Tamandua tetradactyla: one gene and its partners. The protein of the gene in region 1 interacts with the protein of each later gene in a pairwise test. Links are inferred from orthologs where the notes say so. Each region holds a gene or a part of one and is shown in the gene's direction. Other genes may lie near its edges.

Evidence for each region.
Region 2: the proteins of ATPAF2 (region 1) and RAD54B interact in a two-hybrid assay, tested with the Homo sapiens proteins (2 studies listed by BioGRID). The two-hybrid records come from large-scale screens. The link is inferred for Tamandua tetradactyla from reciprocal best matches to the Homo sapiens genes ATPAF2 and RAD54B.
Region 3: the proteins of ATPAF2 (region 1) and SORBS2 interact in binary tests that used the Homo sapiens proteins (3 or more experiments, as listed by UniProt). The two-hybrid records come from large-scale screens. The link is inferred for Tamandua tetradactyla from reciprocal best matches to the Homo sapiens genes ATPAF2 and SORBS2.
Region 4: the proteins of ATPAF2 (region 1) and PKP4 interact in binary tests that used the Homo sapiens proteins (3 or more experiments, as listed by UniProt). The two-hybrid records come from large-scale screens. The link is inferred for Tamandua tetradactyla from reciprocal best matches to the Homo sapiens genes ATPAF2 and PKP4.

What each region holds. Positions count from the first base shown.
Region 1 is NC_135332.1:1,682,861-1,690,683, reverse strand, and holds the start of ATPAF2 (ATP synthase mitochondrial F1 complex assembly factor 2), read left to right. Parts: upstream 1-4,811; 5' UTR 4,812-4,982; coding exon 4,983-5,115; intron 5,116-7,823. Other genes in the region: GID4 (glucose-induced degradation protein 4 homolog), read right to left, coding at 4,090-4,278. UniProt on the Homo sapiens protein: Plays a role in the assembly of the F1 component of the mitochondrial ATP synthase (ATPase).
Region 2 is NC_135332.1:137,865,612-137,872,782, reverse strand, and holds the start of RAD54B (DNA repair and recombination protein RAD54B), read left to right. Parts: upstream 1-4,154; 5' UTR 4,155-4,263; intron 4,264-7,171. UniProt on the Homo sapiens protein: Involved in DNA repair and mitotic recombination. May play an active role in recombination processes in concert with other members of the RAD52 epistasis group.
Region 3 is NC_135352.1:26,657,343-26,665,187, forward strand, and holds the start of SORBS2 (sorbin and SH3 domain-containing protein 2), read left to right. Parts: upstream 1-4,835; 5' UTR 4,836-5,171; intron 5,172-7,845. UniProt on the Homo sapiens protein: Adapter protein that plays a role in the assembling of signaling complexes, being a link between ABL kinases and actin cytoskeleton. Can form complex with ABL1 and CBL, thus promoting ubiquitination and degradation of ABL1.
Region 4 is NC_135329.1:128,877,237-128,884,805, forward strand, and holds the start of PKP4 (plakophilin-4), read left to right. Parts: upstream 1-4,554; 5' UTR 4,555-4,583; coding exon 4,584-4,674; intron 4,675-7,569. UniProt on the Homo sapiens protein: Plays a role as a regulator of Rho activity during cytokinesis. May play a role in junctional plaques.

The sequences.
Region 1 (7,823 bases):
TGGGCATATTGACTAGCACATCTTACCCTACAACTACACAAATTCACCCCAAATAGGTAGATTTTGAGATTTCATGGCAATTAGATTAACCGACAAAGCTAAAGATCACAATACCAAGCAAACCAAAATCCAAAGGTATGTAGCAGAGATTTTTACATGAGCTGAGAACTTGTTTCCAGAAAGCTAACAAAGTTTTATGGCATTTATCAGATTTGGGATCCAACTACTTTCAATTATACCATAAATCAAATCCTTAGGCGCCCCCCCCCCCCTTTACCAACCCTGGTGAATTTAGCCAGATGACATTAGCACTGAAGCAAACCAGCTTCAATGGAGCTCAAGTGCCCCCCCAGTTTGGTGCTGGTGAAGGCGTTCCATGTGCCAAACAGTAAGCGTCCTCCTACGCTGACCTGGGCACTGGATGTCACCTGAAGCAGCTGATCTACACCAAGAACTCTATCCAAGGACGTTCAGGCAAGAACTCTATTCAAGGACGCACAGCTCCAACCCGGGGCCCTCAATTTCACGTACGCACTCCTCACTGAACTCAACCTAGTTTGGGGTTTCACGGCAGCTGGAAGGGCATCAGGTAACAAGGAGGCTTGATAATACGACAAAAAACTGAACTGTAAAGAGGCTAACATTTTGCATGGATTATCACATGCTCAAGAATCAGAATTTCAGTTTGGCCTCGATTCAACCACGCATTTCTCCCTCTCTGTCCAAAGTGACCTCGGCAATGGCCGGTAAAGTCAGACATGCCACATGCAAAGACAGGATGGCATCTCAACGGGAAAGAGAACAAGGTGAATGTTGAGCAAGCAGGTCTCGCTGCACAGCTGTGGTCAACAGCTGCTCTTTTTAATATTCCTTTCCCAGTGACCTGGGGCTACATCTACTCTCGGCTTTTTGGAAGAGCAGGAAGAGTCACAGCAATTAAAAAAAAAGACCCCCAGTTGGAAGCTCTCAAAGGTTAAGGAACTCCAACTGGAATCTCAAAAGAGAAAGTACGCCAACAAGCACTTGAAAGGACATTCGGCATGAGCATCAGGGAAATGCAGATCAAAACCACCACGAGACCTGCACCTCACATGCCTTAGGACAGCTCTAAGCAAAAAGGGAGATGATAATAAGTCGTGGCGACGACGTGGAGCAGCTGGAACCCTCGTGCACTGCAGGTGGGAATGGGAAACAGTGCAGCTACTGGGGAAAACGGCCTGGTAAGTCCTCAAGATGGTAAGCAGAGTTACCACTCGATCCAACAATTCCAAGGGAAATGAAACACATGGCCACCCAAAAGCTTCCAGACGAATGTTCACAGCAGCATGGTTTGTAATGAGCAACCCAAATGACCATTTCTGATGAAGAGACAAATACTGAGGTCCAGCCATACAACAGCTATCATTTGGCCAAGGAATCAAATACTGATGCTAAGTGAAAGAAGCCAGTCATAAAAGACCACATATTGTATAATTCTGCTTTTAAAAAATGTCCTGAATAGGCGAATCTAAAATACAAAAAGTAGATTAGTGGTAGCTGGAGTTGGGGGGTGAAAGCTAAGGGGCATAAGGCTTCCTTCAGGATGATGAAAATGTGCTAAAATTAGATTGCAGTGATGGCTGCACAACTCGGTGAAAATACTTAAAACCACTGAATTGTACACTTCAAATGGATGGATTGTATGGTATGTGGATTCTATCTCAATAAAGCTGTGAAAAGGAAGAAAAGAAGGAAGAAAGGAAGGGAAAGAAAGTGGCTGCCTTACAAAAGGCAGAAGTAGTCTAAGAAGGCTGAGTCGAAGAAACTAGTCCTGGCTGAAAAACCAGATGATGGAGCAATTCCCGTGCCGCTGATGAGTCCCTGGGGTGACCAAGCAGCCGCTGAAGCCGGATGGAGGGCGGCATTCCTTGGCATGACTGTCTCTCCGCCCCCATCAGCCACCCCACTCATGCGGCTTCTAGCACTTGGCCAGGCTTTTCCTCTGGGCTGTCCTGAGACCTATCAGCAGTGCAGAAGTTTCTCCAAACATCAGATTCTACAAACTCAGCAGCTCAGTCACACCTTCAACTTGGCTCAAGGGAAACTTGGCACTTGACGTGAGTTCAGGAATATTATACATTAACGACAGACGAGAGCAGTTCCTGCAGGCTGCCGGGCAGACCCTCCTCTGACACTTAGCTACCTACCCCACTGGTTGTCCCTACAGCACTGGAAACCATCCAATTAAAAAAGCACACAAATTCAAGCTCATCCCAAATGTGGTCCAAACAGGGATCTCACTTCCAGGATTTCATGTTTAGCTGCAAAAAGATAAAGCCCTCACCTTCACACTACATTTCACATATCAAGCGAAAGCAAAGGGGAATCACTGCATTAGACATATCATTTTGAAGAACTGAACTACCTCAGCCCAGTAGTTTCTCAATTACAATGAGATCACAGCTCACGTTAGAGCCTGGAGTTTACAGACCAAGATAGAATTAACATGAGGATGCAGTCCTCCTGGTCCAAAAAAAAGAGAAGAAAGTTACTTATTTCCATGGAACAGTGTGAAATGGAAAGTGATAAAAGAGCTACAGTTAGCAGGAAGAAAAACGTCCCCCCACTGACTTTGCTGGGAGACCTGTCTGTTCAGAAGAGAAGCGGTTTAGGATTTAAAATAAAAGAAGACTGAGGAGGGCTGCAAGGAGGGGACACGTCCTCTATTCTCTCCCTGCACACAGAAGCTGTCAGGCTTCACACGTGGACTATGAAACTCTCTGTAGGATTTCCAGGGAGGACCACTGTTTGGAGAGGCTTTGGGGGAACAGCCTAGGAGGTGGGGCGTCTGGCTAAGGAAAAAGGGGCAGAGGGAGGGAGAAAAGTGGGTTTCAAGGTAGGCAGGAGCAGGCATGGAGGAAAAATGGTTTTGTGGGGAGGAAAGATAAAAAGGGGTATTCACACCACCAACCTCCTTGGGCTGGGGAAAAATGTCATGTGTGCTACCGCTTGTGTGGGAGGGGAGAGGTGCTGGACGGGCCAGGGCAGGTGGCATTGTAGCCCCAAAGCCTGGTCCGGCCTGGCAGCAGGTACTCGAGATCCAGGTCAGGTAGGGGGAGGTGGATGGACACAGAAAGGAAATATCCATGTGAGACACAGAACTGGGTGAGTTGGATTTCCCAGCCCGCGGGTATCAGAGACTAGGAGGAAGCCCTGTGCCGGTGCAGATAAAAGTTAAGAACACAGAAAAGAGGGCTCCCTGGAGCAAGGAATGAGGAAGATGAAGGTATGGGGTGGGGAGGTCTGGGGGGAGAGCCCTGGGACACTGGAAGTAGCCAGAGCAGGGGGGGCAGGGAGTGGGCGAACCCTAGGACAGGAGGCCTGGGGGTGGGGGCAGCTGCGAGGAGCCGGGTGCTGGGAGCATGCAGAGGCTGGAACTGTGGGTGGTACCGCGGGGGACGCAAGAGGCAAGATGCTAACAGGCTGTGAGGAGCCCCACTGGGCGGCTCCCAGGGTGCGAGGGGCTGGTCTTGAGGGGAGGGGGGCACGGTCTGGGGACTCAGCTGTGGGTGGGGACTCCTGGGAGCTAACGGAATGAAGGGACTCCCAGGTAGGAGGGCTGACCACACTTTTTCGAGGGGGGGCTGCCCTGATCTTGGGGGATCCCTGGGACTGAGAAGGGGGGCCTGTTTCAAGTCTGGGAGAATCTGGCATGGGCCTAGCCTGTGGGGGGACCCCCGAGAGGGATGGGCAGGGGCTACTCCAGAGGAGACAAGTCAAGAAGAAGGAGCGGCCAGGCCGGAGTGGGGCAGTCATGGGGGGGCTCCGGATCCCGTGGGGGTCGGGTGCCGGGGAGCCAGGTCCGGCGGAAGGCTCAGGGAGTGCCGGGAGCCGGTCGCGGAAGCCCCGGGCCCGCGGGGACAGGTCGGGCCGCGGCTCGCGGAGTTTGAGGCGCCAGCGGGGCCGGTCCCGGGTGAGCTGCGGCGGGTGCAGCAGGCCCCGGCGGCCCGGCCTGGTCGGCGGCCGCGGGCTCGAGGCCCCGGGGCCCGGCTCCGGCCCGTGAACGCCGCGAGGAGGCCCTCGGGCCCGGCCAGCCGGCCCGGCGCTCACCTGCAGCACCACCTCCACGTCGTACGAGTTCCCCTTGCTCTTCTGGTGGCCGCGGAACTTGGAGCCGCTGTAGAGCAGGCTGGTGGCCACGCCAGGCTGCTGCGTGTTGATGGGCGGCGGCGGGATAAGCGAGGCCGCCGAGGCGGCCGCGGCACCGGCCGGCGGGGGGCACTCGGTGCGGACCGGCATCGCGGGGTCCCCGGGAGCCAGGGCTGGGGGGAGGGGAGAGGAACGGCCGCCGCCGCGCGGGAGCCGAGGAGCGCGGCGGGGAGGGCGGGGCGGGGCGCGCACGCGCGCGGCGGGGGCGGGTGGGGAGGGGTCACCCGCCCACTGCCTGCGGACCAACGCTCCGGCAGCCCCGGGACCCCGGGATCTGCGAGCTGGGCCTCCCCGTCCGGCGCTGGATCCCCTCCTCACTTGCCCTCGCACACACACACACATACACACAGACACACACACACACACACACACACACACACACACACACTCTCACTCACTCACACCAGTCCTTCCGATTGGTGCGGGCGCGCCGGGGGGCAGGAACAGGCTCAGCCGGCGCTCCCGCCCATTGGCGGGCGGAGGAAACACGTGGCAGGGTGCGCGAGCGGCCCTCTGGGACTTGTAGTCTTCCTGCCGAGGCGCGGCGTGGTGGGGCGGGGCCAGGCGCGTTTGTGATGCTGATTGACGGGGGGCGTGCGCCGGAGGCGCGCGGGAGCGTCGGCGCGCCGTTGGCGTCACGCGGAAGGTGACGGCGTCCCGGGGACGCTGAGGAATCCGTGGAGGCTGCGAGGGGAGTTCTCGTACGGCCCGACGGCGCGATTCGGGGATTCCTTCGCTCGGTGTTTCCTGCTCTCCGGCTTCGCGCCGCGCGTCGCCCCAGGCCCTCGGGAGCCATGTGGCGGAGCTGCCTCCGGCTGCGGGGCTGGGGGCGCCGCCTCCTGAGCGGGCCCCCGCGTGGCCTCGCGGCCTCCCTGGGGTCGGGGCCAAACCATTTGCCTCCGGCCCGGGCCTACGCGCCCCCGACAGGTGAGGCCAGGGTCCGTTCCGTTTTGGCCAGGGCCCGAGCCGGGCTAAGGTGGGCTGAGGAGTTCAGCCATGCAGGGTGGGTACCCAGGTAGGGTCCTGTGCAGACCCGGAAAGCGAAGCCCAGACTAGGGCAGAGCGGGCCGGAGGGCGCCCGGGTGTGTCAGCCCTAGACGGTCATTGCCGCTCGGCCCGGGCGTTTTTTCTCAAAGCTCACGGCTTTCGTCTCCTTAGCAGCGCAAGCTGGTGTGATCCCAGGTTTCGGACGGAGAGATTCGGGTTCTGAATCGGGACTTCACCAGGGTCACGCTGCAGACTTAGAGAGGTCGTGGAGGGCAAAGGTTGGCCTGCCTGGCCCCCCCCCCCCACACACACACACATACCGACACTTTCCCCCTCCGCCCTTGATGAGTGAGGCCTTGAAGAACGGTTTGGCCCTTTCCCTCCTGCTGGGGAGAGGTTTTTGGGTGGGAGGATCTCATTTTAGTGAATAAAGAGTAGTGACACTCTCCTTCCCTTCCCTTAGTTGCTTTATGCCGGAGGTAGGGTGTGCAGTGGTTTCAAGACAGGTGTGGTCCACCTTGAGAATGTTCATTGTCAAGTGCAGAAGATTATACTGTTCTGATTAAATAGGAAGTTATAATACAAAGAAGCTGCGACAACACAGAGACGCCCTGATTCCCATGTTGGGGGTGCTCAGGATCTAGAAAGAGTCGTGAGTAATAGGGCATTAAAGTTGGGCCTTGATGGATGAGTAGGAGTTGGGTGAAGAGGAGGAGGAAGAGTGTTAGGTAGCTAGAACACGTCCAGAGGTGACAGTGAGCCTGGTGTGAGGGACCTTGCTGTCACAACCTGCTCTCAGAAATCCAAACCACCCCAGGCAGTTTGAGGCACTGTGGCAGGAATGTAAGTCTGGTTCTAATGCTGGAGTGCTGTGTGATCTTGGGCATGTGACTGCTCTCTTTGGGGCTCATCTTCCTCTTTAAGTTAAAGGACTTAGTTTTCTCTGGACCCTTTTGGCTCCTAGGTAAAAGAATTTTATCCAAATGGGGGAGGGGATTGGATGTAGCAGGGAGTGGAGGCTTCATCCATGTATCTCATGGGCCTGGAGTGGCCCATGAGAAGCAGTAAACAGGAAGGAGGAAGGGCATCCCAGAGAGGCACAGCATGAGCAAAGGGGACACAAGCCGGAGTTTCTCAAGTTGACAAAAGCCGGGAGTTCGTGTTGGTTAGTAACTGCTCACGTTCCATCACGGTGGCAACTGATCTGCTCTCTCCTTTTCCTTTCCGCTGCAGACACAGTCGTGGAGGCTTTTGGCAGTACCTGGCGCATGGGAGGTGGTCATATGTGGAAAAAAAATTGAATGAATGAATGAGGTAGTGTGGGAGAGGGGTGCCTAGTATCAGGCCGCTGCATGCTCTGCAAAGACCTTACCGGATGGGAGAGTCTCTGCTTCTCGATGAAGGCTTCGACTGGCAAGGAGATTGAGCTTGGCCCCTGAGGACTGGGCTTGTCGCTGGAGGTTTTCCAAAGGAGAGGGGGCATTTTGGCAAGAGCCATTGAGATGTTGGAGAGGAGACCTACTTGAGGATGCTTGTGGCCTGGCAAATACCCTTGACTGCTTGGGTGGGAGGCGTTCAGGAGTGCTGAGTGCAGACGCGGTGCAGTCCAGGCTGTTTTTCACCACTTACGGCCTGGCTGTCACCTGAACAAGTCATTTAGCTGTGTCTTGGGCCTCAGAGGCAAGACCTGTTCCTGCCTTTCTCGTAGAGTGGTTGTGTGGATTGAGGGACATCCTGGAGATAAGGGGTTCAGCCCTGCAGCCTGTTTTTTTTCAATGAAGTTTTATTGAAACATAACCACCCTCATTTGTTTAGATGGTCTGTAGCCGCTTTCACCACCACAGTGGAGTTGAGTAGTTGCAGCAGATGGGATAGCCTGAAACGCCTGAAATATTTACTGTCTGGCTGTTTACAGAAACAAGTTTGCCAATCCCAGCGGTAGATGCAAGAACCATTTGGAAAATAGAGTGTGTTTAGTCATTTAGCCCATTTACATTAATTGCTGCACAAATACATGTGGCCTGAAGAATTTTTTTCTAACAGCTTTATTGTGATATAATTGATGGACCATGTAATATCCCCATTGAAAGTAGACAATTTAGTGGGTTTTAGTGTATTCACAGAATTATGCAGCCATCACCATAATTTTCGAATGTTTTCATCAACCCCCCACCCAAGAAACCCTGTATCCTTTGGATGTTGTCCCAAATCCCCCCTTTCTCCAGCCCTAGATAACTGCCAACCCTTTTTCTTTCCCTATGGATTTGCCTATTCATGACATTTCATATAAATAGAATCATACAGTATGTGTCCTTTTATAACTGATTTATTTCACTTAGCGTAAGTTTCAGCTTTTCACTTAGCATAATGTTTTCGAGGTCCATCCATGTAGCACATACTCCTTACTTTTTATGGCTAAATAATTATCTTTTGTATGTATAAACCAGATGGACACATGGATTGTTTACAACTTTTGGCTATTGTGACTAAGTCGTCTATGCACATTTGTGTATATGCTTTTGTGAGAACATGTTACAGGTATACATTTCTCTCAGGTAATATATACCTATAACCAAGATTTAAGAGTTAACAAATGACTGTGGTTACTGAATCGTTATATAGATGCTTTCTTATTTTCTAATATATTG
Region 2 (7,171 bases), about 140 Mb from region 1:
GTCTAGGCATTTAATTCCCTTAATTAGTTTATTCTGGAGATTGCTTTCACTTCTTTTACCTAGGGTTTTCTTGCTGGATGAATTTGTTGTCTGTCTGTTCTTTGACATTCAGTTCAGCTTTTTCTGGACCTCTAGCTTAGGTTTTTAACAGAGGAGATATTTTCAGTTCTTGCTTTCTTGTTTCTTGCCCTGCTTGTATGGTGCCTTCCCCCACCCCCCTCTTAGGAGGGTCTATGTAGGTATTACAGACCCCAGCTGGATTTTCCCAGACCAAACTGGCCTCCTATCAGGAGAAAAGAGTCACCTGCATCCGTTTTCCCTGAGGGTGAGCCCCAGCAGGTTGAAAGGCTTTCCTGTGAAGTCTCTGGACTCTGTTTTTCTTATCCTGCCAGTATGTGGCACTTGTCTGCCTGCAGGTCCCACCAGCATAAGATGATGCGGTACCTTTAACTTTGGCAGACTTTCCGTGCTGGGGGTGTGGTGGAGACAGAAGACAGGTTGTAGGCTGCTTTTAATGGCTTCAAATTACCAAGCCCTGGTGTCTGAATTCCTTGAGGGAGGGATTCCACCTGAGTTGGGCTTCACCCCTCCCCTGGGGAAGGCACGGGCTCCAGATGAGCCCTCAAACGAGCTTGTTTCTGCCTATGCCTGGGACAGTTGCAGCCTGAGAATCCCTTTGGAGAAACACAGCCAGATAAAGCTCTGTTTCTTTTTTTTTTTTTTTCCTGTCAGCCCTGCCCCCTTGGCGCCCAGGCAAAAATGAGTGTCCTCTGCTTTGACCAGGTTCACCTGAGCTGAGGGCCTTTTTTTAGTAGTCAGAATTTGTTAATTCCATAATTGGCATTTGGTTGGGCTCAGTCCCTGCTGCTGGTAAAGTCTCTTTCCTTTTCCCCTCTGGGAAGCTGCCTGTTGGGGAGTGGCACCAGCCGCCGCGGCTTGGGGAACTCATGGTTCTGGGGGGGCTCGCAGCCAGTCCAGCTGGTCCAGACTGGGGTACGCTGTGTGTCCAGTCACTGACGTGGCCCTAGGAGCTCTTCTGTACTGTTCCTGGTTATTTAGTAGTTTTCTGGAGGATGAACTAAAATGCGCACATTGCTAAGCCACCATCTTGGCCTGTAAGTCTATTTTATGTTTCTTCTTGGCTGTCACTAGTCTGAATGTTATATTCTCCTATCCCCTTTAGCTTCAGCTTCTTTGTGGTCTCAGATTCTACCTTTGGAGTCAGACTGCCTGGTTTTGACTCTCTGCTGCACCTTTATGAACTCTGTGACTATGGGCAAGTGACAGAATCTCTACGTTGCTACTTCTGCAGCAGTAAAATGGGAAGAAGAATAATACCTCTCACATATACTGTTGAAAGAATTAAGTAAATATGTGACACGTTTGGTTTATAGTATTTGATAAATGGGTGTCATTGTACCTGATGCCAGCATTTTTTCTCTTATACCATCACTGAGACTTTGCCAGTAAATTTATATGATCATGTCACAAATATTTTGTCTCCCATAATATATACAGGATATCCTGTGGCAGGTTCGTGACAATTACTGTTTAAGGGACTATGCCAACCAGTCAACTGAACTGACCAATGAACACTGGAAAAAACCAACCAATTTCTGGACTAAAAGGACCTATACCCCTATACAGTACAGTGAATGTGATAAAGACCCACATCACCCCAGACCCAGCAAGACCTGTTCCAGCATTCCAGGTTGCAGCTGGCTTTGGTCTGGGGCTACCAGCGAGGACTCTTCCTCTTCATTCTCCCCTGGGGGGACTTTGCCCCTGCTGCCACTGGATCAAGGCTCATCCAAACTCCCAGGTGGGGACAGTGGTCACAAAGCAGCTGCAGTTGTCCCCAGCTCTCTCACCTGCCTGTGGGAGTCATCCCTGACCACTGTGAGTCCAGAAGGAGCATCTAGTTTCAAAGTGTGGTCTCTGCACCAGTAGTGGCAGCATCCCCAGCAGTATCCCCAGGGGCTTATTAGATATGGAAATTATAAGCAGCATTGAGACCTACTGAATCTGGAAATTGCTGGGGAGCTCAGTAATCTGTGTTTGAACAAGTCCTCTAGGGGATTCTAATGTTTGCTAGTCCCGGACATGAAAAAACCTGGGTGCTAGTCTGTCTCTTCTACTGGGCAGAAAGGAGCCCAATTGATTTTCACACCACTACTTATTCAACATATATCTGTTTGTTGCTTGCTAATGGACTGGTACTGTAAGAGGCACATAGGTACAGCAGGGGACAAAATCAAGGCCCTGAGCTCATGGAGCTTACTTTCTGAGAGGAGTAGAAAGGTAACAGACCCATAACTGTGTATTAAGGAGTGGAAAGTGATAAAGAAAGTTAAAACAGGGTAAAAGATAGAGCATGAAACAAGAGAAGGGGTGGTAGGATAAAGCCCTGTAGGTATCTGGATAAAATGAGAGAGGCAAGTTTGGAGCAAATCTGAAAGAGGAAACTCCCAGAACGCCTTAAGGAAAATCTAGGACTTTAGATTTTCTGGCCTTCTAGGCTGCAGAGCTATGAGGGCTGACGTATTTTCTGGTCACCCTTACTCCTGTGACCCAGCACAAAGGAGGGTATGGTGTGGTCTCCAAGGATGCCCACTTTGGCAGGCCTCCGATTCCAACTCTTGTATGCCTAGACCCTGGGTAAAAGCTTTTTAAGCACATTTTTCCTTTTACTTGACACTGTCAAATTGCTCTTTCTAATAACTGTACCTATTTACATTCCTACAACCTGGGTACGAGTTCTCATTGCTTCACATCTTCATCAACCCTTGATATTTTGAGTTTTTAGTTTTGTCAAACTGAGGCAGGTTAGACAGGGAAGAAAGGAGGAAGTGACCCTAAATCCCTTAACAAAAAATTCCTTTTGGCGCACATACCCAGGCCCTCCCCCCACCCTCATCCCCTCCCCCCCACCCCCCATCCCCCAGTCAGGTCAGCAACTGAAAATAACCAATGAAAAGTGCAGCGCATCAATCCCTTATTAGCATAGCCAGAGGGTAAAGGGCCCCTGCAAGTCTTTGTAATGCAAGGATCCCGAACTCAGACTGCTTTTCCTTTGGAGAATTCCCACACTCATCTAGCTTCTACCTTCACTATACATTAAAGTTTTGAGGTGTACACACTGGCTAGTCTTTGGATTCTTTCATTGTACACAATGACCGGTCCTTGAGTTCTTTCCTACAGCTGAGTTTCCTGTGGCCAAGTCAAGAAACTTCATGGCGTCAGTTCCTGGTCCGGGTCTAGACTTCTCTGAGAAATGTCGCAACTCTCTGGCATCAAGCAGAGAATTCCTGGAGCTCTATGTCATCTAGCCTAGAACTCCTGGGGTTCTCTGGCGTTGAGCTATTAAGCTATTTGGCTGTACACACTGACAAGTCCTTAAATTCTTTCCTGTGATTGAGTCAAGAACCCTCATGGTGCCCGCCCTTGGTTGAAGTCTCCATTTTTCCAAGAACTCTGTGTGTGTGTGTGTGTGTGGGGGGGGGGTTCCCATTCAAAACAGTTGGATAAAATGTAAGGAATGACCATCTAACTGCTCTCACTCCCTTCGATATTGCCTCTCTAACTCCACATTTCTCACAGCTGACAGAATGTGCCATTACCTGCCACTTGAGGGGTGCTCAGTAAATTATCATGGAATGAAGTCACTTCCCTGCTTAAAATCCTTTAATACCTTCCCAAGTCTTGAGGAGGAACGCCATTTTTGATATTACAATAATCACTTACTCATCTTTATATCCCTAGAATCTAATACAGGATTTGGAAAGTATCTTGCAGGCGGCACTAAATCGACATTTTCTTAAAAAAAATTAATGAATAAACTACACGGGGTAGTTTACTCTGCGATGCACGCCTTTCATTAGTTTACTTCACACACGGAATTATAATGTATCAAACATATGTCCACATACACGTACATTGTGCAGTCTGTAGCCTCAGCATCCATATCAGTGCGTGGCACACAGCAGGAACCAAATACATACTTTCTAGAATCGATTCAGAACTAAATTCTACTCGGCAGCGGCTTAAGAGAAGCGCAAAGACACAGGCGCAGTGACGCGATGAAGCGACCCAATCTTCTCGCCCAACCAGACGCTGCCGCGGAGAGGCAGTGCGCAGGCGCAGCAGTCTCGTCACGATTGGCTGCGTCGAGGCGGGAGCCTTGAGTTCCTCAGGTGGGGAGGGGTTCGCTGCCTACCCGCGGCTGGAGTACGCTGGACTCCGGGTTGTGTTGATTTCTCGCGGGTGAGTCTCTGGATGGGAGGCTGCGACAGCCTGTGAGCTTCTTCGGGTTCTGTGCGTGGAGAGGTGCCGCTCAGCCCCCCCCCCCCCCAAAGCAGGCAGACAGGAGGCAGGATTCGGGCTAGGCTGTCTCTGCTGCCGGGTCTGGAGCGGCCGCGACCTGAAATGTGAAGGCCTTGCCCGCGGCCGACTGGGGGAATGGAAGAGCGGTTTGTGGTGGGGAGGCCGCCGAGAGAGGACGTTCCGGGTTGTGGTGCTCTGTCCACTGGTGCTTGCTTGCTCTGGGGTGCAGGCGCGCAGGGCGTGTGGGTTTTTTCTCCCAGGAATAACCTGTGCCCTCCTGTACTGTGAAACTAGTTCCTCAGGGCCTGGACGTGAAGGCTCTGAGTGCCCTGGATGGTAATAAGTCATGCAAACGATGCATAAGATTTAGCAGCTTCTCTAGGGGCTTCTACCGCTTCACTGGTCAGCGCTTTTTAATGATTAAAAAAAAAATTGTTTATTTTATGGAGGATTTTGTAAGCTACACCAGGACTGCACAAAGGACCAACTTAGCCTTCAAGTAAAATAACTACTATCTAACGTAGTTGCAAGGTGAAAAACAGAAACAAGACATCTGTTGCTGGTTCTTAATGGTGTTTTATTTGCATTCTTTCATCTTACAGGAGAGATTGTTGCACCCTTCCCCTTCAGAGCCTAAACAAAGCTCTAGTTTCTGGTTATGATCCTCTTTGTTGAAGTACATCCTTTACTATACCCCCTTCACAGACCTCCACCACCTCTACTAATAGGACCTTAGTATTAAACACCTAATAATAATAATAATAGATAGTGATATTACAGATATCAATGAGTGTGTGTCAGGCTCTTTTCTAAGTGTTTTACATAGGTCGTTTGATCCAACAATCCTATGAGTAAGTATGATTATTGTACTGCCTTTTGAAGACGAGGAAACAGGCACAAAGAGGTTAATGAAATCGTTCAAGATATTGCTAGGAAGCATTAGTCCAAATTTATATTTAGGTAATAGCCTCCAAAGTGTTGCTTTTAATTACTCCACTTTAATGTCAAGAACTTCATACTTTCTGATGTGTTGTAACTATTAGCGTGCTGCCATATTCCTTGGAAGCACAGAAGCTGGTAGATGTTGGTCTATTGCTGTCAAAGTAGGGCTGCCACATGCCCTTTATTTCCAGAGCCTGGGAAAAGAGCCCAAATAGCAAGAAGGGTGCTGAAGTATTTAAGGGGAAATGTACATATGTCTACAGTTTACTTTGAAATGTGTTGGCAAATAGATTGATGGATGCCAAAGATCATATAGCTAGTAAGTGACAAAGCTAGAATTCAAGCCCAGGCATGCTGGCTCCAGAGTCTGTTTTCTTAATGACCGCTCGCATTTGTCTACATTCTCAAATACATTATTTATTATTATTGTTTAAATTTTTTTTATTGTATAATATACAAAGCAAAAAAAGAAAAATCAATAGTTTTCAAAGCACTCTTTCAACAAGTAGTTACAGGACAGATCCTAGAGTTTGTCATCGGCTACCATATGATCTGCTCAGATTTTCCCTTCTAGCTGCTCCAGAATCTAGGAGGCTAGAAGACATAAATATTTTTTTATCATCACAATTGACTTTTTTTTTCTTTTTTGTGAAAAATAACATATATATAAAAATGCAATAAATTTCGAAGCACAGTGCAGTTGGTTGTAGGACATATTTCAGAGTTTGGTATAGGTTACGATTCCACAATTTTAGGTTTTTACTTTTAGCTGCTGCAAGATACTGGAGACTAAAAGAGATATCAGTTTAATGATTCAACAATCATGTTCATTTGTTAAATCCTATCTTTTCTATCTAACTCCACCATCACCTTTGATCTTTCTTGTTTGAGCTATGGCCATTCTAAATTTTTCATGTTGTAAGGGTCTGTCACTAATATGGAGATGGAATTATCTATGTTCTGGAGAGGCTGGGCCCTCTAGGTTTCAGGACGTATCTAGTCCAGGGACCCATCTGGAGGTCATAGGTTTCTGGAAAGTTATACTAGTGCATGGAACCCTTGTGGAATCTACATATTGCCCTAGGTGTTCTGTAGGATTGACTGGAATGGTCCTGGTTGGGGTGGCAAGTTATAATAGGTAGCAATGTCTAACTGAAGCTTGTGTAAGAGCAACCTCCAGAGTAGCCTCTTGACTCTATCAAATACATTATTTTAAAACTAGTTTGTGCTCTCAAATTAATTATTTTTAAATAGACACTCAAATGCCTACATTCTCGTATGCCTACATCCTCAAATATATTATTTTTAAAACTAGTTTATAGGATACATTTATCTTGTAGAATGTGTACAGGGTAGAAAAAATAGAAATCATGTATTGGGTGTAGAAGGGTTTAGGATGCTGATTTGATGTTGAAAGAAATCTTAGCCACCTACTCGTTCTCTTTACCAGTGAGGGAATTGGGGTCCTGAGACTAAATAGCTTGCCCAAAGTTAAGCACCCTTTAAGTAGCAGAATCAGAATTAGACTTAGGTTTCCTTTATTTCTACAGTGGACTTTTCTAGCTACTCTTATTTGTCTAGAATTTTAGTATCCTAGCTACCAAAACAAATAGCATATAATGGGGTGGCTTAACAACAGCAATTTTTTGGATCATGGTTTCTGAGTCTTAGAAGGCTTGATTCCTCCTGGGGTTAATATCTTCTGGCCTCTTAGCAGTCTTGTGGTTCCTTGGCTTTTTTATCATATGACAATGATCATAGAGGCATTTTCTCCTCTCTCTTCCGAGTTTTGCTGATTCTAGCTTTGGGCTGCTCCCTATGAATTCTCTTTCTGTGGCCTTCCCCATAAGGCCACCAGTAATAGGATTAAGGCCCATTCTGATTTACTTATGTGTAGGTAATATTT
Region 3 (7,845 bases), on another chromosome or scaffold:
AAATAACAGAAGGTCTCTTGCCTTGACAATACAGGACGTCCATGAGCCAACCACCTTGTTATTTGGATCAAGAAGATCTTCTCGTGTGATGAAAATACCAGAGGGTTAAGGTCTTTTTTAACCATATTTTAATTAGACCAATGCTTAGCTCAAAACAGTTTCAGTTGTTGTTGTGTACAACTGAAGAAGAGAAGTGTACAACTAAACTGGCTTTCAACATTTCCATCCATCTTTTCCTTCTTCATCTCTGTCTGAAGGATCATCCCTGCTCTAGATGGTTCTTATGGAAAGCTTAAGAAACTCAGGAAATTTAGGACGAAGTTAACATGGTGGCTGGTCTCACCGTTAACTTGGACCAGACTCTGTCTGATTCCTTGGAACCTGTGTCTCTGCTCAGATAATTTACCTAACGTTCTGGATCCTCTGGTGCCAAGACTATGCTCTGCTTTAGCCAACCTTCCCTGAAACTCCAGACCTGGAGCAGCTGGGGACCTACTGGCAGACCTCAAACGACCTTTAGTGTCTGCTACCACGCACGTCCTGCTGGCTACAATGCCCATTCATCGCCCCTTGCGGGTTTCCACCATCTCCACCGCCGGCACCTGTCCTGCCCTCCCAGCACCTGACAAACCCCAAGCGTCTGACCCTCACTAGAAGGAGTGTGTCTGGTTTCCAGACCCTGTTTCTTCTGTATCGGTTCTGCCTCACTGCCATCAAACTGTCAGCTCTTGCTTTTATCTTAGAATCACCTGGGGAAACTTTTAAATATGCAAATGCTTGGATCTCCTCCAGATCTATTAAATCAAAATCTCCATGGGTAGGCCCAACGTACTGGTCTTTTTTGTTCTCCAGATGATTCTCTTACGTACCAGAGTTGAAAGATGCTGGTTTCCGTTTCTCCAAAATTGTCATGTGCAGACGCATAGCCTGGGAGTCTTGTTAAAATGCAGCTACTGATTCATTAGGTCCAGGTGGGGCCTCAGGATTCTGCATTTCTAACAGGACCCCAGGTGCCATTAATGTTGCTCTGTGAAACACTTAAGCCTTAAGCAACAAGGCTTAAGACTAATGGTTCTCCAAGTGTGCTCAAGCATCTCCTGGGAACTTGCTAGAAATGCACATTTTCAAGCCACTCAAGTCTCCAGACCTACTGAATCAGAAACCCAGGAGGTGGGACCCAGCAACCTGTGCTTCTACAGACCTCCAGGTCACTCCGATGTCACTAAGGTTGCAGAGTCTTTGGCTTACATAGCTGCCCAAAAGAAATGTAACGCAAACCATACACATGTATTTACATCTTCTAGTAGTGCCATTTAAAAGAAATGAGTGGTATTAAATTTTTTAACATTACTCCTCATAAAATATTTTAACTCAGAATGTCCAAAGTATTATTATTTCAACAGGTAGTTAATCTTTAAAAATTAATGTGGGGCGGTGCAATGGTGGCTCAGTGGCAAAATTCTTGCCTGCCAAGCCGGAGACCTGGGTTCGATTCCCGGAGCCTGCCCATGCAAAAAAAAAAAAAATTAATGTGATTATTCACGTTTCCTTTTCCATACTGTCTTCAAAATTCATTGTGCGTATTATTACACTTACGTGCCTCTATGTTCTGACTAGGCACATTGTTAAATGCTCAACACACAGATAGCCACGTATTGGCCAGCAGAGTTCTAGACTTACAATAGTGATAAAAATTCAAATTTATCCAGTGCTTGTATGTGGCAGGCATTACTCAGCTAGGCATTTTACATGCATGGTTTAAGCCCCACTGCAACCTTATTATTATCCCCATCTTCTATGGGGGTGGGGTTGTGCCAAAGCCATATTTCCAATCTGTCAGTAATATTAGAAACCCACTCCAATATCAGCATTTTGGGAGGATCATGTGGTAGCCCATGGTGGACTCTTGGATCTGTCCTGTGGCTGCATGTTGAGGAGTGCTTTGAAAACTGCTACTTTATAACTGCACCAAGGTTCTCGTGTGGCACACTCGGACAGAGAAGGTTAATTTAGCCAATAAGCCAAAATACCAACTGGACACAGTAAAGATTGAGGTATAAATTGAAGCAGCAACTGGTGCAGTTTGCCTGGTCAACAGATATGGAAGAGATGTGTGGAGTTTAGACTACAAAACATTCAGGTATTGCTCATTTTACTTCAGTACAACAGCCTATATTCTCATCTGATGGACATTTGTGCAAACAGCTTGTCATTTAACATAAGCTAGATGAATGGTATAAAATGTGCTTTGTCTTCATTTGTTTTGCATGTTTTCCCACAATCAAACTGGAAGATCTTTGTATAATATAGCTCAATGACAATGCAGGGTACAGTATTGCAAATCTTACATATATTTCCTGCCCTCTGCACCATTTGGCTTTGTGACTGATAGAACAGAATGGGTTTTGAAAATAGATGGCAGGTATTTTGTTAATTAAATGTTCCCAATTCCTGACCTTGAAAAAAAAAAACTGTTGCTTTTTTGTTTCTTTGCTTTCTATATATATTGTACTATACGAGAGAAAAAGTTAAAAATCAATAAATAAATGAAAATTTTAAAATATGTATATCAGCATTTCCTAATTAATTTGAATCAATTTATTTGTTTTTAATAAAAAGAATATTAACAAAATCATTACCATGAGTTACAATTATTAAGATATCAATAGCTTATAAGATAAGAAGTTACAGGAATTGGGAAAGTAGCAAGAGTCAAAATTTAGTGTCCTTTAATTTTCTAAAGTCCAACCTGCACCCTTCAGTGACATCTGTTGAAAGGGGCTTATTTACAGGCTGCCTGGACAGTCTGGGATCCTAAGGGAACAAAGGAGACCTCAGTGAGTCACCCGGCAGGAGAGGATTCCTCCTAAGTGAACACAAATGTCAGGCTTATAACCTGTCCTTGCAAGTGCAGACTTTGACAGACTATGATTTAAAAAGGTAATGTGAGGCAAATGGGCTTCCCTTTAGGAATGATGTGAGAAGCTGGCAGTTAAGAATTTAAAAATAATGGTTGACTTAGTAATCAAATAGTTAATCTTTGTTTAGTTAACTAGTTTCTTAAGGAAGGCCAAGTTTAAAGTGTGTTTCCTTCTTATTATAAATTATTCTAAGGAGGTGAAAATAAAAACAATTTTTTCTCTATCTGATGCTTGACTTTTCCAATTTTTGCCAGCAGTATTACCATTTAACATTGTGGTCAAGTAAAATAAATATCAGATTTTAAACTGGCAGGTATTTAAGAAATTAAAATGCAACTATTAAAAGCAAGTGAACAGGGCAGGCCACGGTGGCTCAGCAGGCAGAGTTGTCTCCTGCCATGCTGGAGAGCTGGGTTCGATTTCCGGTGCCTGCCCATGTTAAAAAAAAAAAAAGGAAAGAAAGGTAAATGAACAGACTATTGCATAATACTACAGTGACTTTTTAAAAAATAAGCATTTTTTTTTAGGTAAAGCAGATTTACTTTAAAATTTGATTGGGTATTTCAAAGTTACGCTATCGTTTTATATATATATATATATTTAAATAGCTGCATGGTTTTAATATAAGGTGTATTGGGTTGAAAGATTTCACTATTTTACTACAGTACTTGAAATAGTCATGTAACCCTTTTACATGTCATGTGTAATCCTCAATATTTTCTATATTCAACTCCAGTATCTTTCTGAAATTGCAAGGAAGAAAGTAGAGTCAATATGAGCATCCAGTAACTAGCCTCCATAATAATGATTATAAAATATTTCAAGGCAGTTTTTATATTGGATTTAGATTAGAGAATGTTTCACTTCCTCAGCCATGCTTTGAACTGCCTTAAACATCATCCTCTTGTTATGAGGATTAGGGAATTGAAATGATTCAGAGATTTTTATCTGCATGGAATAAATGCCTTTATCAAAAATATTAAGTGATTCTTTGGTAGGAAATAACTAATTTTCCTTCTTAGTGGTGTTCTCAAAGGCATAATGAAGTCATGGAAGGTAGGAATCGCTCTGATGACACATCGGATCTTCCTGTACAAGGGTTTGAATAGTCTCATCTTGTGAACATGAGGTTGCGAAAGTTTGTCAAAAAAAAAGGAAACCCTGTTTTTCATTTTTTATTCTTGTTGTGTTTGTGTGCTGTAAACCTCCAGAGGCAAAAAAAAAAAAGCTGTTTGCTCACTATTGTATTTTCAAAATGCCTGGCTTATAATAAGGACAGCCGTGCCCACCACATAAATATTTGCTGGATGAATGAATGAATGCATTCAACTTCTGGATCTTTATTTTTTCATTCTAAAAACAAAATTAAAGCTCAGAGTTTTCTGGCCAGAGTTGGTGACCCAATCTAAATTAGTTCTTCATTGGCCTTTGGAGGCAGACTGGAGATCAGTTCTGTCAGCATCGTGTCACAGAGTGGTCCCCAGCCTCTGCCAGCACGATAAGAAATGTCAACAGCTTAACCTAGTAGCTTTCAAAAATAGCGTAGTTGATGAAACTGGAGATTTAGCTGAGTGCTAGAAATAAACCATTTGTCTTCAGTCTTAAGAAGAACAGGCTGACAATGGCCATTCCAACCAGAGAGACTTAAAATGTTTTTAAAACCCATATAAACAAGCAAATACATATCAGAAGAAAGGTCTTCACTCTCAATAAGGTATAACTATAGCATCTTCTTTTCCATGAATCAGGTAAATCATTTTTGCAAAACTTGGCATTATGGCAAGGAGCTGTGTTTCTTTAAGATTCCGGTAAAGTTTTTTTTTCTTTTTTTCCCAATAGTGCTGGCACTTTTCCTCAAAATTTAAATGAATATTTGCACAATGAACCAAGTTGTTGTGGGTTTCCTGGTTTGTACCTCCCCGCTCCAGGGGGTTGGGGTGGGTGGAGAGGCTATTGGGCCGGCACCGCATTTTCATCCCTTCACAGACAAGTCCGGCTGCTGTTAATGCTGAAAATAGCTTAAATGCTCTCGGAACAGTAGCACCACCCAGCAGCTGGGATTCTCTCCCCCTCTTATTTGCCTTCTCTCTTGCCTTTTTTTCCCTTCAGACACTTGGATCGGACTTAATCTTAAACCTTTGGAGTTCAAGACCTTTTAAAAAGGGCTAAATAAACAATCTCTACATGTAAAAGGCCAGTGACTCCTACTTCCTCTGTTGAGAGCAACTGTTCAGCTCCAGCTGCTTGTAGGTAAGAGTTTTATGCTGGAATTCTTTCATTGGTTTATGGTATATTTGTGACACATGTTTTTAAATAACTTATTTAGGCTGAAAATAAGCCCGGGGCTGCCATCGATTTCCAGGTGAACACTGTATGCCTGAATATAGGAACAGCATCTGTGGACTTTTGTAGCTGTAACTAAACTTTGCTTAAAGTTTTTCATGATATTGACCTGCCATGCAGACGTGACTGTGACCCAGCAAAGGATCAAAACTCTAATGACACCTGAGTGCCAGGGTAGTAAGAGGGCTTTTCAGACATCGTTTTGTTGTTTAGGCTGCTTACTGATTTTTAATGTTCTAAAGGCATTTGAAAAAATAAAAACATACAACCACCTGAGTAAAGGAAATATAGGAGTGATTGTTCTCTCAGGACCAGATAGCTGTATTATATTTTGTTCTCTTTTATCGTCACTGTTGTGTGAATTGCTATTTTGGAATTAGAGCACTTTCTGTTTGGTATATGCCTAGCATAATTTAGGTGTCTCTGTTTTAAGAATTCCTTATCTAAGCTGCATTTCTTTTGCCAGTTAGGTTCGCAGGCAGGTTTCTCTAATGTGACAATATGACATTTTCCAACGTTTTCTGTGCCTCCTCTTTCCCCTTCATTACACTTGTGCTTTGACATTTTGCGAAGGACTTTGATCTGTGGACTTTAACTTCAAACACAGCATTTACTTTGATTGTGGGTATTTACTATGTTCAGTAAAAAAGTCTTTTTATTTAGTGGGGAGGAGGTTAGTGCTTTGATAGTATTTCCTTTAAATTATTTGTTGGGGTTTTGGTTTTCCTCACTGCTTACTGATACAACTTTAAGTTTTACTGATAGTTGCCCCCAGATGAAAGGGAAAATACTGTTTTATGGCAAGATGATTCTCTTGCCAAAGAGACTTTAAAACAACTCACTGCTCCACACCAAACAGATGTCTAAAAGCAGGCAGCAAATGACAGTGCACAGAATGAGATTTTATCAACCCTTCATTTGAATGTTCTGCTACCCCCAAATTACTGTGTGCCTTGAGGCCTAACTGTTGCATATTCTAACATGAACACTGAAACCCTTGGAATTCAAAGACTTTCTCTCCGAAAAAATTTGTTGGTCTCACAGACCACATGTCAAAAGAAAACATGCATTTAAAATAAACAGCGATCTCTGGGGTGACAAAAAGAAAGGAAAAGAGAGAGAAAAGAAAATTAAATTTTAAAAAAAGGACAACTAAAGAGAAAAACTCATACAACTGGTGGAACGTCTGTTGTATGAGGGTAAGGGGATGGAAAAACAAAAGTATTTCCTAAAATAGCAAAATGTAATACCATCTAGGCATTCTGTCGATGTTTAAATGTCCTCTTCATTTCAAAGAAAATTCATGTATATACTGCATTTAAGTTTTTTGCCTTTTCTTCCCTATCCCAAGCACAGAGTATTTCTAAAGCCCTCAGTCAGATACCAAGGTTGATATTCCTTGGCCAACTGTCCCTGCATGTTGAGTTGAGGGTTAGGAATAGAATGAACTTAATCCCATCAGGAGACTTTTTAAGCACTAGTCAAGGGCTGTGGCTCCCTAAAGGCTGAGACCGCCTTGCTAGGAAGGAAAGAAGCAAGTGGCAGCAGGACAATTTTCAAAAGGGCAGAGCAATGGAAAACACTTGGAGAGCTCCTCCAGATTAGGAGAAGATGCGACTTCATCTGTAAGGATTCCGATTAAGAGTAAGAAAACCTAGAGCTATTCAGGCTAATAGTTTATTCCCAACATTGGCCATTTAATTACTACTTTTTCCCCTTCAAATCCACATTAAAAGGAGCATATGAATCATCCTATTTCTGTGTGCAGTCATCATTTCATATCCTCCAGCTATTTTAAGCATGTTTCTTAATGTTCCCAAGCCTTTGGGAATCTCCAAGAGTTCCCCCGCGCCCCAACCCCACCCTACTGTAGTACTGGGAATTCCTCCTCTGGCAAGTGCTTGGGGCACATGTGTTGCTGAAAGGTAATGCAAATTCAGTTGCAGAGTCAGGTGGCACTAGGGTGGAATCGGTTTGGAAGATGGTAGATGGCCATTTCTTTCCTGTCCACTCCCACCCCCCCATTTCTTTTCATCCCTTAATTTTACCTTGAAACTTTGGATTGTTTGAATGTGAAACTCAAGGTGAAACCTAACGAAAGCCACCGGGTTTCACACAGCCTCCCTATGAAAGAAGTATTCTGCCCGCCCTTGCCCGAAACTTGGCCCGTGTTTGCCAAAAGTTTCATGAATGTCAGTGAGCCCGGATTTGAAACCTAATCCAAAGCCAGGTGACTTCTGGAGACTTTGAGACTTTATTGTATAGGCATAGAGTCTGTCCAACAAGGGCAGTCCCTTTTTGCAAGTATTCTACTGCAACTTAACGTACCCACGTTTTTTTTGGACACACTCCCACTTGTTCTATGCTACCTAAAAGCCAGTTTCAAGCCTAATATGAATGTTTATAGCCTTGGCATTTAAGCATGGGCAAATAGAAGTCTGCATTTTAAATTCCAACACAGCTGAACCACAGCAGCGTGAACATGTTGGTATAATTCAGCTGAAGGAAGGAAGTCTCAGGAGAGTGCTGGAATGTCTTTCTTTGCTTAAATATACCCCGGTGCTCGTGAAGAACAAACAGT
Region 4 (7,569 bases), on another chromosome or scaffold:
AAAGAGAGGACAGTGTTCCTGCTTCACCTTTAATGGCTGCTTGTGCCATTCATTTAAAGGAATTCACTAAATTTACATAACTTACTAAACATTATGGGCTAGTATGAAAATAAACATTGGAAAATGATAGTTTTCATAATCCTATAAGGGTTCAGGTTGAATTTTAAGATGGTAATTGAAAATTCAGTTACATTTCTGCTATTTACTTTTGTTCTTGAGGACAGAGTATACACCAAACCTCTTCAGTCTTTATAATGTTGCTAGAGCCCCACCCCACAGTCAGCCTGATCTTAGAGGATTCTCTATACACTCCTAATTCCCAGCCACCAGGCCTACCAAGGTGTTGTGGCTATTAGGACAAATGCCTCCTCTTTTTAAGAAGGTCATTTGCATTTTTATAGATATTCAAGATGGGAGACAAGGGTTTCCCACTCTTCACTGGAAGACTGAAATTTGGGCATTGTAACTTGCAAGTAAAAGGCATTTTCGTAGAAGAAAACTTGATTGACAAAATGAGCTAGGATTTCGAGGAGAAAGAGCACACTGTTCAGAATAATTTCAGCTGTATTCAAGTGTGAAAATTACATGGGATGTGGAACAGTAGAAGCCTCATGAAATCCCCTTGTATCCTTCAAGGCAGTCAGAGGTGACAACGTGAAAATTAAGACTGAGGTTTAGGAAAGTTGAAGTTGAGGAACTTCAGGGTGGATGCCTGGAATAATCTCAGTCAAGTATGAGAAGGATCACTGGAAGAAGGCTGAGTGCAGAAGGGACTTGAGAAGAGCAGAAACAGGACAGGTTTGGTAAAAGTATTCCAGATCATGTGCTAGCAAATCACCCTACTTGATTATGGAAGGGATTTGGGGAGTCAGTGAGGACCCAGCCAAGACTAGACAGTCTGAACCTTTAGAAGAACTAAATGATTTTGTAACTTTTTCCAGCAATGCTTGGTAGTACAGGAGCAAGTTGAAAAGAAACCATTCAATGGAATGTAACAATTACAAAAAAAATGTTGAGTGACAACTTAATTTCAGGCAACATTATTCATGGTGGATTTTATTAACATTTTAATCATTTAAAATATGAAGTACACAGTATCAAAATACTCAACAAACCTGTGATCTTAGATAAAGACAAACAGAAAAGATGATGTAAGTAAAAAAATTAATCAACTATTTTCTGCTTGTTAGCCTAAGGGAAGAGAAAAATAAATACCCATTTTCTCTTTGTATTAGACACATTTTCCATTTACTTAGTGTTATTAAAACCCAAATCATTGCTATTCTGTCAGTACATTAAAATGTATCTTATTTATAAAAAACTGCATTTTATTTTTTCTATTCTCTAAACACAGAGAGAGAGAGAGAGAGAGAGAGAGAGAGAGAGAGAGAGAGAGAGAGAGAGAGAGAAAGACAGAAGAAACAAAAGCATGAGTTAATTTCCATGATGGCATGGCATGAGACAATACTTCCTGGCCCCTGCTGATCCCTTCCCAATTCTTGAAAAGGGCGGGAGAACATTCACATGTTCAACTGATTTATTCCTTGGTTCAACCTTGTACAGAATTGCTAAATTCAGATTCAACTACAAATTGTGGAGAGTTGTTTTCCTCAGACAAGGTACTGTATTAACACACTTTATCTTGGATTATATTTTTGTAGTCTTAAATTACAGTAAGATAGAAACAGTAGCAAATAATATCCCCTGGTTCAAAATTCAGGACAGTAGTTAAAATATGTAACTGATGTCTAACTTACACATACATTAATCTTTTTCTCTCAATAAAATGTTTCTTATTTACAAAAGCCTGTCAGTTTTTTACAGAGTGTGGTCCTTCCAACAGGACAGAAACTAACATAAGCATAGTCTTGTTACTAAAGAGATTAATATAAAAATGGCAAAATCACCAAAAGAAGGAACCTAAGAATATCTGTAGCTATATGCTGGAGCAATATATTGCTTAAAAAAGCCTAATAAAGTCATGAAGTCCCATTTTAATAGGTGGTATCTAATTATGAACATTATTTTTAAAAATGATATTGAAAAATTAGCACAGTAACTTTAAATGAAGGAAGTAAAGGACTTGGTATGAAGTCTCAAAATTTCTGATTCAATGCCTCGGGTCATTTAAGAAAAATCAAATTTAGAGATAAACTGAAAAAATCCACAAAACAAAATCCATATAACCATAATCTATTTTTTTTTCTTTTTGTAAAATAGTCAGAAGGCAGGAAGAATTGACTGTGTCATCTGTCTTTTCCCAACCTGTAACCTCTTAGGGGAAAAAACATGCACCTGCCAAGCTCATGATGCAGAATGCACACACAGCTGGGTGTTTAACAATCTTTCAGTGAGAAAATTAAAGGTTTGTGTTTGGGGAAACCAGAAAAGGTGTGCTCACCCTTTGGCACCAACACACAATTTCAGGAGCCACCCTGTTTCCTTATCAAAATGGTGTCCAAAGTAAATCCTCTTTTGAGTGTCCTTTAGATATTCTATAAGTTTGAAGACCCAAAATTTGGAAGCAAGATTCTCCCCCAGGGAAGGGGGCGTGGTCGGGAATAAGTGGAATTCAGGTAGATCACTGATATCAGAAGGAAGCATCAATTTAAGGGATGAGGTGCAAACTCACCTGGAGAAGCAGAAGCTGCACAAGAGTCAAAGGTCAAAGAGTATAACCTCAGGGTCTACCAAGGCCCAAGAGAAGTGAAATGCCCGCTTCTGGGCTCTCAGCCTCAAGGATACGTATAGCGGTTCCCAGTGCCTGCCTTTGACGTCCGGGACAAACCCTACCATGCACGGTAGAGGGTGACAGGGAGGCAAAGCATTACCTAGCCAGATTTCTGAGCCTTTGCCCGGAATTCCCCTCCACTACTTTACCTCACCCCTTCCCTTGCCTGAGACACCTTCACCTCACTCCACCTTCTCCAGGCCCTCTTGCTCTTAACAGCATCGGTCTCTATGGCAACCTGAAACCGCAGCTCCCATTGGCCTGTTCAATATGAGGGCCGGGCCAATGGGAGGGCCAGTCTTCTTCTCCCGACCAATAGGGCTGGCGGGGAGCCTGTCCGGAGACGGCAGCGTGCTGACGTTCCCGGGAGCCCGGGGCCGGCTGGGCAGGCGGGCTGGTGGCTGGGCGGGCGACGGCGGCGGCGGCCTCTGGGCAGTAGAGGGGGCTCCGGGGCTGAGTCCGTGTCGACGCCGGCCGCGGAGACGGCACCATGGGCACTGGGTAGAGGGGCAAGTTGGCCACCGCCGCCGCCGGGGGTGGTGGGAGAGCCTCTCCGGGGCAGGGGGCGGGTGGGGGAGGGAGGGGCGGGCACCCGCGCGGCCACTGCACTTTTGTAATTTTTTCGGGTGCCGCAGCGGCGACCACTCCGCGCTTATGTCTCTGACCCCCGGAGCGACGACGGCCGCTGCTTAACCTGGAAAGTAAGTGTGCGGGCTCGCGGGCGGGCGCGGAGACTCCTGCCCTCGAGAGTCCGGGTCCTCGCCCCCTCAAGCCGGAGCCGGGACCTGCCTCCCAGGGCGCGGAGGGGGACGGCGCTTCCCTCCCGTTACTCCATCCCCACCGCCTCCCGGCCGCCTCGGCTTTCCTGCCCCGCCTCGTGTTCCTGCCCGCACTCGCCTGCCTACTCCCCTCCCCCCGGCGAGCGCACAAGTTTCACCCTCCATTTGCTTTTCTCCGCGATTACTCTCCCCGGCTCTCCCTGCATACCGCGCACGACCCTTCCCCACGTTGGCCTTTTAGGTTCCAGAGTCCCTACCTCCGAACTTGGTCGCGGTGCCGGCTCTCTCCCGGACCTGTAATTCGGCAGCTTCCCCGCTCCCGCCCTCCTGGCTCGCCACCCCGCGCCCCCGGCACCCCGGGGCGCCTTCCTTCCTCAGCTCAGGGGCCGTCTCTTGATCCCTCTTATCCTGTATACCGCAACCTGGCCCCCTCCACATCCTCCCACGCCCCTGCTGCCTGCACGGCCTCGGGTTTGCCCCTTGTCCGGCACTCCTATCCACCACCCCACCACCCCCTCTGTCCACTAAGCCCCACTCTCCTGCCGCGCGTCCTCACGCTCCACCCCTCCTGGTTCCTCAGCCCTGAGTCTCCCCGGCTGCTCTTCTGCGCCGCCGCTTCCCCCTCTCCTTGCCAAGAGTTAGAGCAGAGCTGCGGCACCCCTCTGGTGGATCGGGTGTCCCTACCCACCGCTCTGGCGGCCCGCCCTCTGCCTTTCCCCCCTACTCGGGGAGCCAGGGGGCGGGCAGCGGGGCCGGGATTTGGCTGCGTGTTGGCGGAGTGCGACAAACAGCGAGCGCGGGCGCTGGAGGCGCCGCGGCAGCCGCGGGGCGCAGCAGTAGGCAGGTGTGTGTGTCCGGGGGGGGTGGGGTAGGGGAATGAGGCCGCGGACTCCTCGGCTGGCGACACATTGTGCAGGAATGCAAGGAATGCACCAGGGGCAGAGTCCTCTCGGCCTGCCGCGGCTTCTCTAGTGCCTTCCCGGCCCAGCTCTAGTCACGCTGCCAGAGGTCACCGGAGCATCTTCGGAGCTGGTGAGGCTCGCTCAGTTCCTCTCCTCCTTTTGCCTCGTTCCATGCGGCAGAGAGGGCGGCGCGGGGGAAGCGCGGCAGATCTGCTGGGCACCACTGGCCTTTCGACTGGGTCTTTGCTGCATTGGTCTCCAGGTCCGTGGATTTGCGTCTGATGGTGATGTAGCCAAGGTTATTGATCATTGCACAAGGCTTTTTTCTAAGTTTGGTTTACAAGGTTTCGATAGTGCCTCGTTTTTAGGAGGTTTTTCTGAAAACCTGCAGGAACGAGGGGCCGAAGGTTCCTGGAGTGATGAGGTTGCATGTAGCCAACATGTTTCAGCTCTATCAAAGAATATCAGTTAGTGCTCGTGAACGGGGGTGTACTGCAACAGAGATCTTGTATGCATCACTTTGCTGTCATAGGAATTGTAATTTTCTTTTTTACTTGTCATACTGGACTGTGGTTAGACCTCATATAATACATAATGAATAGAAACAGAGAAGCAGTGTTTGGTCAGCGATGGGACAGATAGAACTGTCTGGTACAGTTAAATTCAGGGCGTGTCAATTACCATTAGAAGTAACTCAGGGACACCACAACCACGTCCATTTCAAGATGTAATTTATTAGTGGGGTTGCAGCTCTTTCTCTTTTTGATACTGAGTTTGGCTGCAAAAATAAATGCAGCCCTACAACTTTAAAGGAATGGTAATTCACTTATGTGTAAAATCGATTATGATTAATATCTATTTTTGGTCAAATTTTATTTTCCTTAATAAAGAAAAGCAGAGTTTTGGCAGATGATGTTTCTTAAGAATTGGACTTATATTCTTGCATTTTAAAAAGAAAAGTAGAAGTGTTTCTCTTTTTTAGTGTAGTTATGTTGTTAAAGAAATATCTTCATTTTTGGTGCCTGACAAATAGTTGTGGATAATGACAACAGGACAATGAGAACATATGGCCACAATAAATATTATAAGATGTTGGAGAAGCATACTTTGTGTGCTTTTATCTGACACAGTTTGCTTTGAAAATTAAGTATACTCTAAGACCTTCTGCACATGGTTATTTTGTATCAGATTCAGGAAAATAAGTCGGTTGTCCATCAAGTCAGCTGTTTTCCGACATCTACTTTGTGTGAATCACAGGCATTGAAGAGATGAGAGTCTTTTAGTAAAAGATCCAAGAGAAAGAAAAATAGAGGAAAAAATTTTTCTGCTAGAGGAAAAATTGTGTATTTTGATTGCTGCATTGTTGTCTAGGTATATCCTTCATCAGTGGACTTTTCTAATTTAGAAGCTTAATTTGTGTCCAATAACACTGTGGAGATATTGGGAGATTTTGTAAATGCCAATAGGAAACTTTTATTATGCAACAGTATCATATTACAGTAGAGTCTAACACATGCTTATTTAACTGGATGTGAAGATTAGAAAGTAAAAGCAAATTTAGTTTCTCTGCTGCATTAAAAATTGAAATAACCATTTATTTATATGGATATTGTATATACATGATTGGTTGCACACATAGTTTTACCTGCTTCAGAAACCTTTTGGTTAGAAATATAGCACACAAAAGTTGCAGGCCTATTTTTATAGGTTAGGGTCATTTTATTTTGTTTGTTACAGATATTTGAAGAGAGGAAGTTTTTAATCTGATTATCCTTCACAATTGAAAATAGTATAAACTATATTTTGACCAAAGTACATTCCATCCCCACTCTGCCCCGACTTTATAAAAGGAGAGTGTGCTGCATTTGGTGTCATAAATGTTATACTAATGATTATAAAGTGGGGAAACCTATATCCAGTTATCTTAATTTTTACCTATACTGTTTTTAGATTGAAATAAGGAAGAAGAGGTTGTGATGGAAAGCATAAGAGAGGGGAAGAAGAAACTAACAGCAGCTTATATACCATCAGTAAAGCAAATCATGTACATTATTGCTGCATTTATATGCTGAATAAACAAAACTAAATTCTGTGAATGGCTCTAGCATAATTTAAATTTAAAGAAACTACTAAACTTAGTTTACTAAAACTTTAGCAATTGTATGGCCTTAAGTATTTGGATTAAGTCTTATATTAAATCAGAATTGTAATTTTCTTTTCTGAGCTATATAAATTGAAAAAGTAGTTTAATTTAAAATTTTGAAAACTCACTTAAATTGATTTTTAAAATCAAATTATTGCTAATTTTTAAACTGAGTAATTTCCATATTGTTGACCAGAGATCGACTTAAATAGGGAGTGTTCCTACCCTGGATGATGCCAACCATCAGGTAAGTCCAGTCCCTTACCTGAATGTTAGAAATATTAAGAAACTCTATAATATAATGGTTTTTTTTTTTTCCTATTTTGGTCAAGCTGTAAGACCCTACCTTGTTTAATTCTGAAATGAATACTTTATTTTCAGTCTTAATTGGAAGAGAAAGTGAGATTATTGTGGGGTTATTTCAGAGCACAAATATCCATGGAATTTTTTGCCACTTTAGGAAGTTGCCTTCACGCCTTCAGGTACATTGGGAGATAATTATACCTTCACTGTGTTAAACAGTTTTGTAGTACCCTTCCTGCAAGGACGTAAAACGTAACACCAGTGGACTAGAAATATTTGGAGTATTAAATAATGGTCTCGAGGCCAAACTGTGGCTACACATAGCTGCAAATAGAGAAAAGGAAGTAAAACTTTAAGGATACTTGCATCTAGGGCTTGGAATGCTGTCAGTAAGTGATGATAGCAGTTGGCAGATCTTTTAGATGCCAGTGGTTAGAAATGACAGTGTTCTTTCAGGGTGAGAATATCAGGCCCCAAGTCACAGAGAGAACAGCTATCCAGGTGCTTGCTGGTCTCAGGTAAAAGGTTACACAACTTTCAGATTTTTCTCAATTCGTTAATTTAATAGTTGAGCGAAAGTATCGAAATCTTTTGGGGCTATGTTAGCATTATTAATTTGGGGATGTTACATATTATTTAGGAGATGCTTTTCAATTGAGTTATCTGTAGACATTCAGTTTGTCATTGGCCTAAATTGTTTTTCTATTTATA